2 linked regions of the Drosophila melanogaster genome follow. The protein of the gene in region 1 purifies or fractionates together with the protein of each later gene. This does not show direct contact. Each region holds a gene or a part of one and is shown on either strand. Other genes may lie near its edges. The genes, in order: rdhB and CG31200.

The links.
Region 2: the proteins of rdhB (region 1) and CG31200 purify together in Drosophila melanogaster (affinity purification with mass spectrometry, with the first as the bait; one large-scale study listed by BioGRID). This does not show direct contact.

What each region holds. Positions count from the first base shown.
Region 1 is NT_033777.3:22,349,594-22,356,764, reverse strand, and holds rdhB (retinol dehydrogenase B), read right to left. Parts: upstream 5,070-7,171; 5' UTR 4,872-5,069; intron 4,521-4,871; exon of another isoform or gene 4,455-4,520; 5' UTR 4,436-4,454; coding exon 4,295-4,435; intron 4,235-4,294; coding exon 4,069-4,234; intron 4,017-4,068; coding exon 3,890-4,016; intron 1,074-3,889; coding exon 938-1,073; intron 817-937; coding exon 640-816; 3' UTR 501-639; downstream 1-500.
Region 2 is NT_033777.3:20,743,727-20,747,506, reverse strand, and holds CG31200 (uncharacterized protein), read left to right. Parts: upstream 1-2,168; 5' UTR 2,169-2,183; coding exon 2,184-2,235; intron 2,236-2,303; coding exon 2,304-2,420; intron 2,421-2,542; coding exon 2,543-3,228; 3' UTR 3,229-3,273; downstream 3,274-3,780. Other genes in the region: CG42322 (uncharacterized protein), read right to left, coding at 1-143, 204-686; CG31199 (uncharacterized protein), read left to right, coding at 3,742-3,780.

The sequences.
Region 1 (7,171 bases):
ATTCGCTTTTTCTACCTCACGTTTTTATTGGAGTCAGTTCAGTTTTTTTTAATCATAAGCCCCAGTGTGACCAATAAGCGAAAGCTGTGAAATATCGATGTTTGTTTCGTACCATCGATTTTGGGGGTAGCACGAGTAATCGATGTTTTGGTGGATAACTCTGCTAGAGCGAAGCGAGCCAAATCAAGAGTGGTTGTTGTACTCGCTAGCGATAGCTGTACAGCCCTGGTCTTTTGACTCAATCTGGCAGCCCTACCGCAAGGTGGCAACTCCACTACATGCGCGGGCAATTCCAATTCAAATGAATGAATGTATAAATGCATTCATAATGTTGCCAAACTATTTACACGCATTTAATGTTATATCGATTAGAGAATATGCAAAATATTATAAATGTTTAATTATCGTTTTATTGCATTTTTATGTTATTTGTAATAAGATGTTAATACAGATGTTATCTACAGATAACATCTTAAAGAATATAAAGTGTCGAAACAGTTGCTTGAAATGCAATAATGTAATTTTTTATATTTAAAAATATGTACATTTGTTCTCTTATTACATAGAAGAACATATACAAAATGTACAAATAATATCGTTTTGGGTAAAATGTAATTCTCTTGAAATTCAAACTAAAATTCAATCGACCTTCCGCATCTGCTGCAGGATGATGTCCTCCACCTGGACGCCATCGGGAGTGTTCAGCGCATACAACACGGCCTTGGCCACATCCCTTGCCTGCAGTTTGGGCAGCTCGGCTACCGCCTGCGAGTAAACACTAAGGAAATCCGTGTCTACCATGCCCGGGCAAATGCTCTGCAATGGAGGGATAAAAATGGAGAGGGTAACCAATGAGCAGACGCGTCATGTTTGCCGCATTTCCCGAGGATTAAGATGGAGGATGAGGCGCGCCATGTATGCACTGCATTTAACTTACCGTTAATTTAATATTTAATTTGAGAAAATGTATTTCCTGGCGCACCGTTTGGCAGAGGGCCGTAATTGCATGCTTCGTGGCCGGATAAACGCTGAATAAGGGCACCGGCACTTCCGGAATCCGATGGCCAAGCACGCTGTTGTCAAATGTTGTCCATACACATGTCCAGAGCAGAGCGAAGGAGGAGGCGGAGGAGTAGCATGAGCATCGTCCACATGCCAAGGTATGGCGGTGCGTCGGGGATGGAAAATAAAGACAAAGCGGGGTCACAAACGGCGGGTGTGCGTGGGTAAATAAAGTCAACACAACGGATTTCAAGCACTTAAAACGGCAACAAAAAACAAGTCGCCGTCGAACACCTACGGAAAATGATGGTCAGCAGCTGACGGGACATTTTTGCGTGCATTTTATGCAAACATTGCGTAAACTTCTTTTAATTTTACCCCCACACCTGACGAAAAAGCAAGAAAAGACTTAAAAACTTGTGCTATAATATTTTGATTGAATGCGAAATTTTTGGAAAAATAAGGGAATTATAAGTTACAACTAGTTTTTATATTTGCTACAAGATATTTAATTTAATTAAACTGATATTTTTATGAAGGCATTCATTCGAGTATCCTTTTTTTCGAGTGCATTTGGAAGAGCACGGGGTGGTACTTACGGCTCTGAGCCGGGGGCATTAAATGCAAACAATTGCCAACGTTGCTGCAGATGCTGGGCGGCCGGCATACCCTTGCAGTTTTTAATTAATTAAGTCTTAATATTATTGCACTGACATTAAGCGAAATGCATATGGACGACCGCCCAACTTCCACTGCCCACCTGTCAAGCCCCTTGACACACACACAGACACAGGCCCCCCGAAACGTCACATGCTCATTAGCAACGCCTCGGCTACGTTTCCAGAACGGAATTCTCTTTGACTCGCAACGCCGCCAAATAAATACATTTTCTCATTAATTAACGTTTGCAAAGTTCGAAGTCTCAGTTTCCACTGCCCTTTCCCGCTTTCCTTGCCTGTCCGCATTGCTCAATTGTATTCGATTGCGGACAATACGCTTGTGTCCGCTGCTCATTATGCCGGAAAAATGCGTATGAAAATTCCGGGAAATGCGTATTTACGGTGTGTCTTTAATGCACTTCGATGATGCACTTTCCGATTGCGTGGTAAAAAGTGGTAGGAATGTGGAGGTTACTCGAGAGCATATTAAAATGGTTCGTTAAGGTTTCCCTATGGTAAGTCTACATATCATGTTCTTACACAGCTAAATAAAAGAAGAACTACAAAGCTAACAAGAATCTCTACTTCAAAATAGTTAAATGAACATTTCAACATTTTTGACCAAGATAAAGCGTCACTGAAATCGTTTCAAGGCATTATATTAATCCAATTTTGAGCTTGCAATCTATTTTGCGCACACAGATTTCTGTTCGAATCGAATTGCCATCTTTGCGTAAACTAAAAGCCAATCAATAAATAAGATTGACGTTGGCTTTGTTGAATTTGCCTTAACATTTCCGCATGCTTACTGATTTTACAGCCATGAAAAAACCAAACATACACACACACAGAGACACTCACGCATGCACAACAAGCCGGTCAGCCCACCCACAGTGCGTATACGCAATTATTCAATTTTGCCTTTTGCTCATGGGCAATAATTGCTATCTGGTTGGGTGGGTGTGCGTATGCACTCAAGTAAATTTCATTAAAATTAAATCAATGCAATTTGAAATTAAAGCCATAGCGCAAATCAAACATGCGGATTTTAAATGCGGTACGCATTGGATTCCATGAAATAATAAAAATCACATCGACGACTGCCAATGGAGGAATGCAAAATGCAAATGCGAATGCAATACGCATTCGGCTTAATGCAAAATACTTAATTATGTTGAATAATTGAGTTGTTGTTGCTGTTGTTCTGGGCAAACACATTGGCCATGCAAAGCTTTTAATGCACCACCCGCACCGCAAAAACACGATGCGTGCCCCCACCGCGCTCAGCATTTAAATATCAATAAGTGTTTGTGCTGTTGTGCTTGTTTGTTTGCCGCATGGCTTTTAATTTAATTTAAATAACGCGGCGACCACTTCGAGCCCTTCGCTTTTGAGCGCATGCCTTTCGTATGCAAAATGCATTGAGCTGACCAACTCTGAGCGACACGGCTATTGACTGACCGCCTGCATTGTTTGCACTTTCATTAAGCCCCGATCGGCTGAACCCTTCGTCTAAGCCCGCCCTTGAGCCACCCACCACCATCCAACACAACCCACTATCCGCCACTCCGCCACCCAACACCATGGAGCCTACAGGACATAATTTGGCAAATATTTTGCCACTCAAGGCAGCAGCTTTTGGTCAGTTGTTTGCCCAGCACAAGCAAAACTATAAAGCAAATATGTACGAAAATGATTTACCTCCAACTCCATCGCTGTATGTATGCACACTGCCTTTGTCCGGCTCTGCACTAATTTCGATTTAAGCCCAATTTTCCTATTTCAGCTGGGTAAACAGCGCTCCCGAAATGATAACAATTACCCCCGAACAGCCAATTGTGCCTCTGTGTGTGTGTGTGTGTTTTGCAGTTGTGCTAATTTTGTAGCTCTATCTAATTGTCTCGAGTCAATAGACAATCCTTTCAAGTATAGCTTTCAATTGATGCCTCCCTCCTTTTAGTTGGCAACGAACACTTTCTACGGAATTGGCTTTAATTAAGGAACATTAAGTCGAGCTGTCAAAGTGTTGCAAGCAGAAAGGAAAGCAAAATGGTCATTGAACTTTACCCAAGTTTGGTATAAGGCTTAAGTGACAGCAGAAATATTGCATGCTTATTGAGAAATACTTAATAGGAAATATATAAAATATTTCTTTCATTTAACCTTTTGAAATTCAAGAGGACATTCCAGCCCTGCGGTATATACTTTTGGCCATGGTGGACACTCACCTGTTCATGACCACAATGTGACCGCGAACCTTGACCGCAGCCATGTGTTTCAGTGCCTCCCGCAGGCAGCTGGCGGTGGCCACCACATTCGTGTCGAACAGTTCCTTGATGTCCTTGGTGGGGGATTCTGAACTGAGGAATGTAGTCTCGGCAGTTCAGATTCTTTACGCTGCACTTACCGCTCAGGAAGTTGGCCTTCAGGATGCCAGCGTTGCAGATGAGCACATGAATGGCCTGGAATTTTTCACGAATCCAGTTAAAAGCACTGGCCAACTGCTCTTCATCATTGAGGTCACATTGCCGGGCAAAAATCTTTCCAACGCCGGTCACTTGATCCCTGAGTGCCTGTTTGAAGTCTCATAAAATGTATTCTATGGATGTATATTAATTAGTATTGGTCTGCACCTCAATGAGTTCCACTCGACGAGCTAGGCCCACAACTACCATTCCGGCATTGGCCAGTTCTATAGCTGTGGTAGCTCCAATGCCCACGGAGGCTCCAGTGACAACCGCCACCTTGTTGCGCCAGTAGAAATTATTTTCCATGATCAGAGATGTGTTAAATCTGAAGAGACAAGATGTTGTTTAAGCAAAGATAACCTTATGGCTTCGATTGCCAGTGACAACTGATGTTGGAAGCTGAAGGCGATCACTGAAACGTCTATCACAGCTGCAACACAGTGGCACAGTGGGTCTTGTTAATATGGAAACATAGTAAATGCCGTGCACTCTACATATTATTTAATAGTTAAAGTATAGGATTATATCAAAGCTGGGTTTATAGAGGAAATTGAGAAAGTATTAGGGTCCTTCAAAGTATATTTTTTTTATTTCAAGACACTAGAAATTTTGTGATGTAGATAAACATATCTTATTGTTTAAGCCAAACATCTCTCACAAGGCTTTAAGAATTAAGGAAACATTAATTTAGTATATAGGCTTTTAAAGAGTGTTCTTTATTTTTATCGTCGGCGTCTTTTACCATTGGGCTTGGATCATGGGGCACGCGTCGCTCTGGCTGAAGTCGGATTTAATTGATTGCAATTTACTGGCTGTCGTACTGTTCGTACTTGCATTGTGCGACTGTAGTTTGTAGTTTGCATTTGCCTAGTTGCACTTTGTGCCTCAGCCTCCGCTTTTCCCTTTCCCTTTTCTCATTCATGGAGCATTGCACTCGTTTGCATTTCACTTCTAGTTTAAGCTATCTTTTTTTATGCATTTTCTTTTGTCTGCTTGGGTTTTTGCTGGTCGGTTTTAGCGGATATTTGATACCAAATGAAAAATCTCATTTCGCTGTGCGGCTTTGGTTTGTTGTCACTAATCTCTCGGGCTGACACTTGAGGATTATTTTCATATTTCTATTCACAAAACCGAGCACTTGGAGTGGGTGGAAAATGGCTTGGCAACAGTGGAAAAGCTTCTTTTTTTCCAACACTCGGATCTTTGTATACTCTTAACACGTAGTTGTTTTATTTATGAAAGTGTTTTATTCTTGCGATTTTATCAATGAGGTTTGAATATTTATTTAGGAATTTGTTATGATTTTAGCCTGTGTAGTTATTTATTTCTTAGGGAACATTGCGTTAGAAATGAAAAGGGAAATTTTGTAAGCTTTGAAAAACACTTTACAAATTAAAATGTATCTAGCTTAATACATTTAAGCCTGTGAAATTAGCATCTCACTTAATATTCATATGCAATTCTTATTCCGTTTTTGCTTATCAAATATTAGCAACCATTCTGTCCAGCAATCAATCGCCGAATCGACAAACACGAAAATATGCATTATCGATAATCTGGCATAACATATTCCATTATATTTTGATAGATTCATCAGCAGGCCATGAATATTCGCCCGGCCATTCGAATTCGCTTTCCAGTTGAACGAGCTGCTCGGAGCCTTATCGTATTTTTGTAATTACCAAACAACAGCTTGGTCAAATGGGAAGTGAATGTGGATGTGGGGGGGAAAATGCCACTTGGCTGGCTTCTTGACTATGGCTCAGTGACTCTGCTGGCAAATCAAAAATCAACTTTATCTCAGCTAGTGGAAAGTATTTGCATGTCAGTCTCAACTGTAGATGCAACCAAAAAATGCACTTAGACTGGATTTGTGGTGCGGGACAGGAGCTTGTATACGTTGCAGTTGACAGCCATAAAATGCAGGTGCAGGAGAATGAGTCCTTTGTGGCTCAATGGCTGCAATCGGCCAGAAGTCAGGCAATTGTTTCGATTGGCCGGCCATAAATTCCCTAGCATTTATCTCGTACAGTTGTGCTGGCTGTTAACTAACAGCCGCCCAAGCCATGCAAATCAATTGCAATGCAGCTGGGGAATCAGCCCGGCAAGGCGACGGAATTTATGGGCCATAAACCGAAAGTGGCCAGAACGAGATGCTGCAGTCTTGTCTATGGAGTCATCAAAGTGCCAGGCGTTTTGGGGTGCATTCAAAAGTACAATGCAAATACTTTCTTGGCACTTTAAGTGCACTTTCTTCACTTGAAAAAGAGTACATTCTTTTTTCGTTGTCCTAATTTCTTTATAAAAAATCGATTTAAAAGAATCAAGATCTAGATGAAAGAAAGAAAGCGCAGGCCAAGTATCTAGAAATCTAATATAACATATAATCCCAATAACAAACATTTTTTTAAAGTGTTTCCATCTGATAGTGCCAATGAAAATTGATAGAAAATTGGCGCACAAACTGTTTTTAGTTTGGCAACAGCTTACCCGATTTGATTTCCTTTTTTGGCCAACTTGTACACCGTAGTTGGGTACTGCTAAAATAGAGTGCGAGGAAGTGGTTTTTCCGGGCGGGTGTTTCAAATAAATGAAAAGCTCCCGTCGTGGCAGAATTTATTGTTGCATACTTTTCGGCTCAGCGCCCCGTGGCATGCAAAAAACCAACCAACGATTTTGGGGGTGTGGAAAAGAGTTTTCTGTGCAAACATGTGTAGCCTGACCTGCTACACCCCCCCCCCCCGCAGTACTAGCCCCCGCCCTCTGGACCTGTTTATTTTTCGGTTAAACCCAAATATGCATTTTTCATGGCCTCGACGGACTTTCCATCCACTGCATCCGGTCTTATTCCTTTTTCAATTGCAATAACATTTGTCGGAGGCGAAACTTAAATTGCATTTACCAGCATTTTTGGCAATTAGCGCTTACGTTTTTACTATACGCATATCGCTCATCCGCCATGTGGGCTTTTAAACCGAATAAAAAACGTATAGCACAGTTGTATATGGAAACAATGGCCACGTTAAAATGCGTTTAAAGTAC
Region 2 (3,780 bases), 1.6 Mb from region 1:
TCCGCGCGGCTCGAGGACGTGTCCTGGTCGTCGTTCAGCAAGTCGTCGTACGGAGCACGGTACTTGTACATGTACTTAATGCAGTGGGTGGCCCCCACCCACGACGCGGTCATCAGGATGGTCACGCACACTCCGAAGTACATCTGTAAAGACATCGATCGCATAGCATTAAAATTGAGTGAATGATTCATAAGTTTTCCCACCTTCCGGGCCAGTTCGGAGCAGCATGACTCCTTGCAGGCCTGCAACTTTCGGAAGCGAAGCTCGGACTCCTCGCCGTGCCCGTTGGCTTGCTGCTGCTCCGTCTGGGTGTCGCTGGAGTCGCCGCCTCCGAAGTGGTGCGCCGCATTGTGGCTGCCCGGTGCGCTCGTTGGTGTGTCCGCCGGGATGATGACCACCTCATTGGGGTCCTGTTGGCTCGACGATATCGAGTCTTGGTGGGTTATTTGCGGATTGCTCGAGGTGAGCACGTTGCTGAACCCGCAGCTGCCCGCTGCTCCGCTGCCACTGCCGCCGTTTTGGGCAGACGAACCGGGGGCCACTGCCGTGCTGCTGCTGGCTCCCGCCCCGCCGGTGCTATTGTTGCTGTACGGTCCATTCGTCGAGGAGTCGCCGGTGACCACCACGGAAGGAGTGCGCACTCTTTTCGGATTGAAAATAGCTGGAATTTCGCCGTCGCGCGTCATGCTATCATCATTACCGAGCTCCTCTGTCGCTCATAGTGATCCGGTCCTGCAAAATCAATAAATCATAAATACCAGAATCTAGCAAGCTTATTCTTTATGTATATTTTTGGCCTTAATATCACCTTCCATACCTAAATGTATGCCTTCACTTTTGAACGCAGAGTAAACTTAAGGTTGAAACTGGACTTGATGTACTTTTTAAAGGAAGCAATAGTCCTCGGCCCGCGGCCTAATAAATGATTCAGTTCGATTCGACCAGCCATGTTCCAGCACTGCTGCAAAGGCTAAGCAGTCTCGAATCAGGCTGTTCACGTGCTTCCAGCGATTAAAGATTGAGGAACACGCAAATGGGGGGCCATTTCTCGACTCTTTACAAGTGAAAGGCGCACCCAAAGCCCACGCAGCTTGTTCAGGGTCCGAGCAATTTGCATGGGCCCCACTTTTTACCACTGCCCTCATCCCAGGATATAGCGTTGGCCAAACTCAAGGCTAGGGCAGCCAAGTTTTACGAGCACCGCCGCACAACCAGCCAACCAACCAACCAACCAAACAGCCTGCCAGCCGGCCGTTCATTAAAGTCCAGACCCGACCAGGAGCACATTGATTGGATGGCCACAAAGGCGAGGGACGGGCTCATAACAATGCGAATTATGAACGCCCCAGCTCAAGCAGGTCAAGTTGAGTGGACAATAAACTGCCAACCGGATCTCGCCGGCAATTTGTAAGCGTTCTTAGTAGAGTGTTAAGTCCAGCCCCCCACCACCACTACTACCACCAGGCCGGATGAGTTACAATGTCCTTCGGTGTCCTTCACCTTCGCATCCCATCGAGCAGCTTGTGCGCTTGCCTTCGATAATCGTATTCTAATTGAAACATTAATTATTCAACCTAGTTGAGGCTCCTAGCAGGCTCCCAGGGTAAGAGGGCGCGAGGGGAGATTCCAAGAGTCTAATGGCTATATAATGAAGGTCCTAATAATTGCCTGTAATTTTAAGCGGTTAAGAATAATATTCCATCGATTTCCAAGCAGTCGAGCAAAACCAAAATGATTTGAAATCCGCAACTCTGGCATTTTGCACAATTATTTTAATATGCCTAATATGGGACTATATACAGCCGATATGCCGTCTATTTGAGTTAATAAAATATTTTAATTTAATTTATGATTGGGGAACTCCAATACTAGTTGTAAGTTGAAGGTGAGTTAGGTCTGTGAGCAAATTTTGTTGGCTAAGAAGTGGCATATCTTCATATCTTAATATCTTTAATATGACTTCAAAGAAAGTAGTCAGACTAAGGAAGATTCAAAAAGATTAAGGTTTACCAAAAATGCTTGATAGTCACACTGAGAATCTTAATAATAAACAACGAGAGAGCGGGAGATTGTTAATTAATTATTCACAGCAAAAGGAAACTGCGCTCTACGCGATCTCATACTATTCAATTCAATTCTGTTCGATTAGTTAACTCTGAGCACTTGAGCACATCGTCATAAAAATGCTTCACAGCGGAAAACTTGTTCAGCTTTTGACTCTGGCTTGGCTAGGCGGTTAGTAAAATTGAAACAGTTGTATGTTTACTACGAGTATTTATTAAAAACGCTATATACGTTTTCAGCATTGACGATGGCAGAATTTCGATGCGGTCGTCTGGATGAAAAGCTATTGTACACCACCAACGAGCAGGCGGAACCCTCCGAGAATCCCTGGGTGGGCATTCTGCTGGAGGATCAGGGTCAGTTAACTTTAGAAGTGTTAACTATGAAAAGCCCCCTTCTAAAGCCCCAAGTTAATAATTAATAACATGACCTATGCTTTTGCTAATGCCCTTTGTGTCCACCTTCGATGATTTTCTAGGAAATCGGTACGAGAATACAAGGTGCTCCGTAGTTATTATTAACGAGCTGCACATCCTCAGTACTGCGACGTGCGTAAAGCGCTTTAGCCAACGATCCGGAGACACCAAAGCCGTGGCAATGTTGGGCGTTTGGGACGAGACTGACTCCCCGGAGGAGGAGCTGTCGTGCAACGACAAGGACTTCTGTGTGCCGGGGCCTGAGCTGTACAAGGTGGTGGAGATCAAGGTCCATCCGCAAACGGACAAGGACACGGGGGACAACGACTTGGCCATCCTTCGGCTGGAAAAACCAGTCGAGTGGACCAACTGGGTTCAGCCGATCTGCTTGGAGGGCACTTCGGAACCGGAAACGCTGACCAATCGCAACCTGCACTACACCGGATTCAACCATATGGCCTCGGAGAAGGGCAAGGGGTTGGCCATGACAGTATCTACTCAAAAGTGCAAACAATTGACATCCTCCAGCGTCCTAGTACCGGTGAACCAGCTGTGCGGCTATCCCGTGAAGAGGACCAAGTTCTATCCGGGAGCACCACTGATGGACATCGATGTGCGAGATGAGAAGCCGCACAACTTCTACCTGGTGGGCATTCTGGTCCGGAACGTAGATGCCGGACAGGCTACCACTCAAGTCTATCAGAATGTCCGACGCGCCCGCTCCTGGATAATGGAAAATTTGAAGTAGAAAGTACAACTTGTTATGTGAATACTCAATAAACTATTCAACATGAGGAAGTAAAATGTTGTGGGTTCAGTGAAATAACTGATGCATCGTGACGGGAACTGCCCAGGGATTCGCATCGGAAACGGGTTTTCGATCGGTAGCCGTAATGTAATCTTACACCATTAATTAGATACGTAGAATAACAGGTAGTTGGAAGAGTTAGTTGAAAATTTTAACAAACATTACACGGAAAGAAATCAACTCATTCTTGGAGAAGGGAAATGTGCTGATCAAATAGTATTAGTAACACTAATAGTAATATTTAAAATCTTAAAATATTTTATATAAAGGTTTCGAAATACACTTCACTATTGATTTCATATATATTTTAAAAAATTGTAAAAACAATTGTATTTTCGTTCTAGTGTTCCTGCTAAGCTCTATCGATCATAAGCTTCTGGGTAAATCCCCTGAGCAACATGCATTGTCTGTTTTTCCAGCTCCCAGTCAGTTGACTTTGAGCTGCGCTTCAGAATGCTTGGTAGAATCGCAGTTTTATTATTGCTCGTCGGT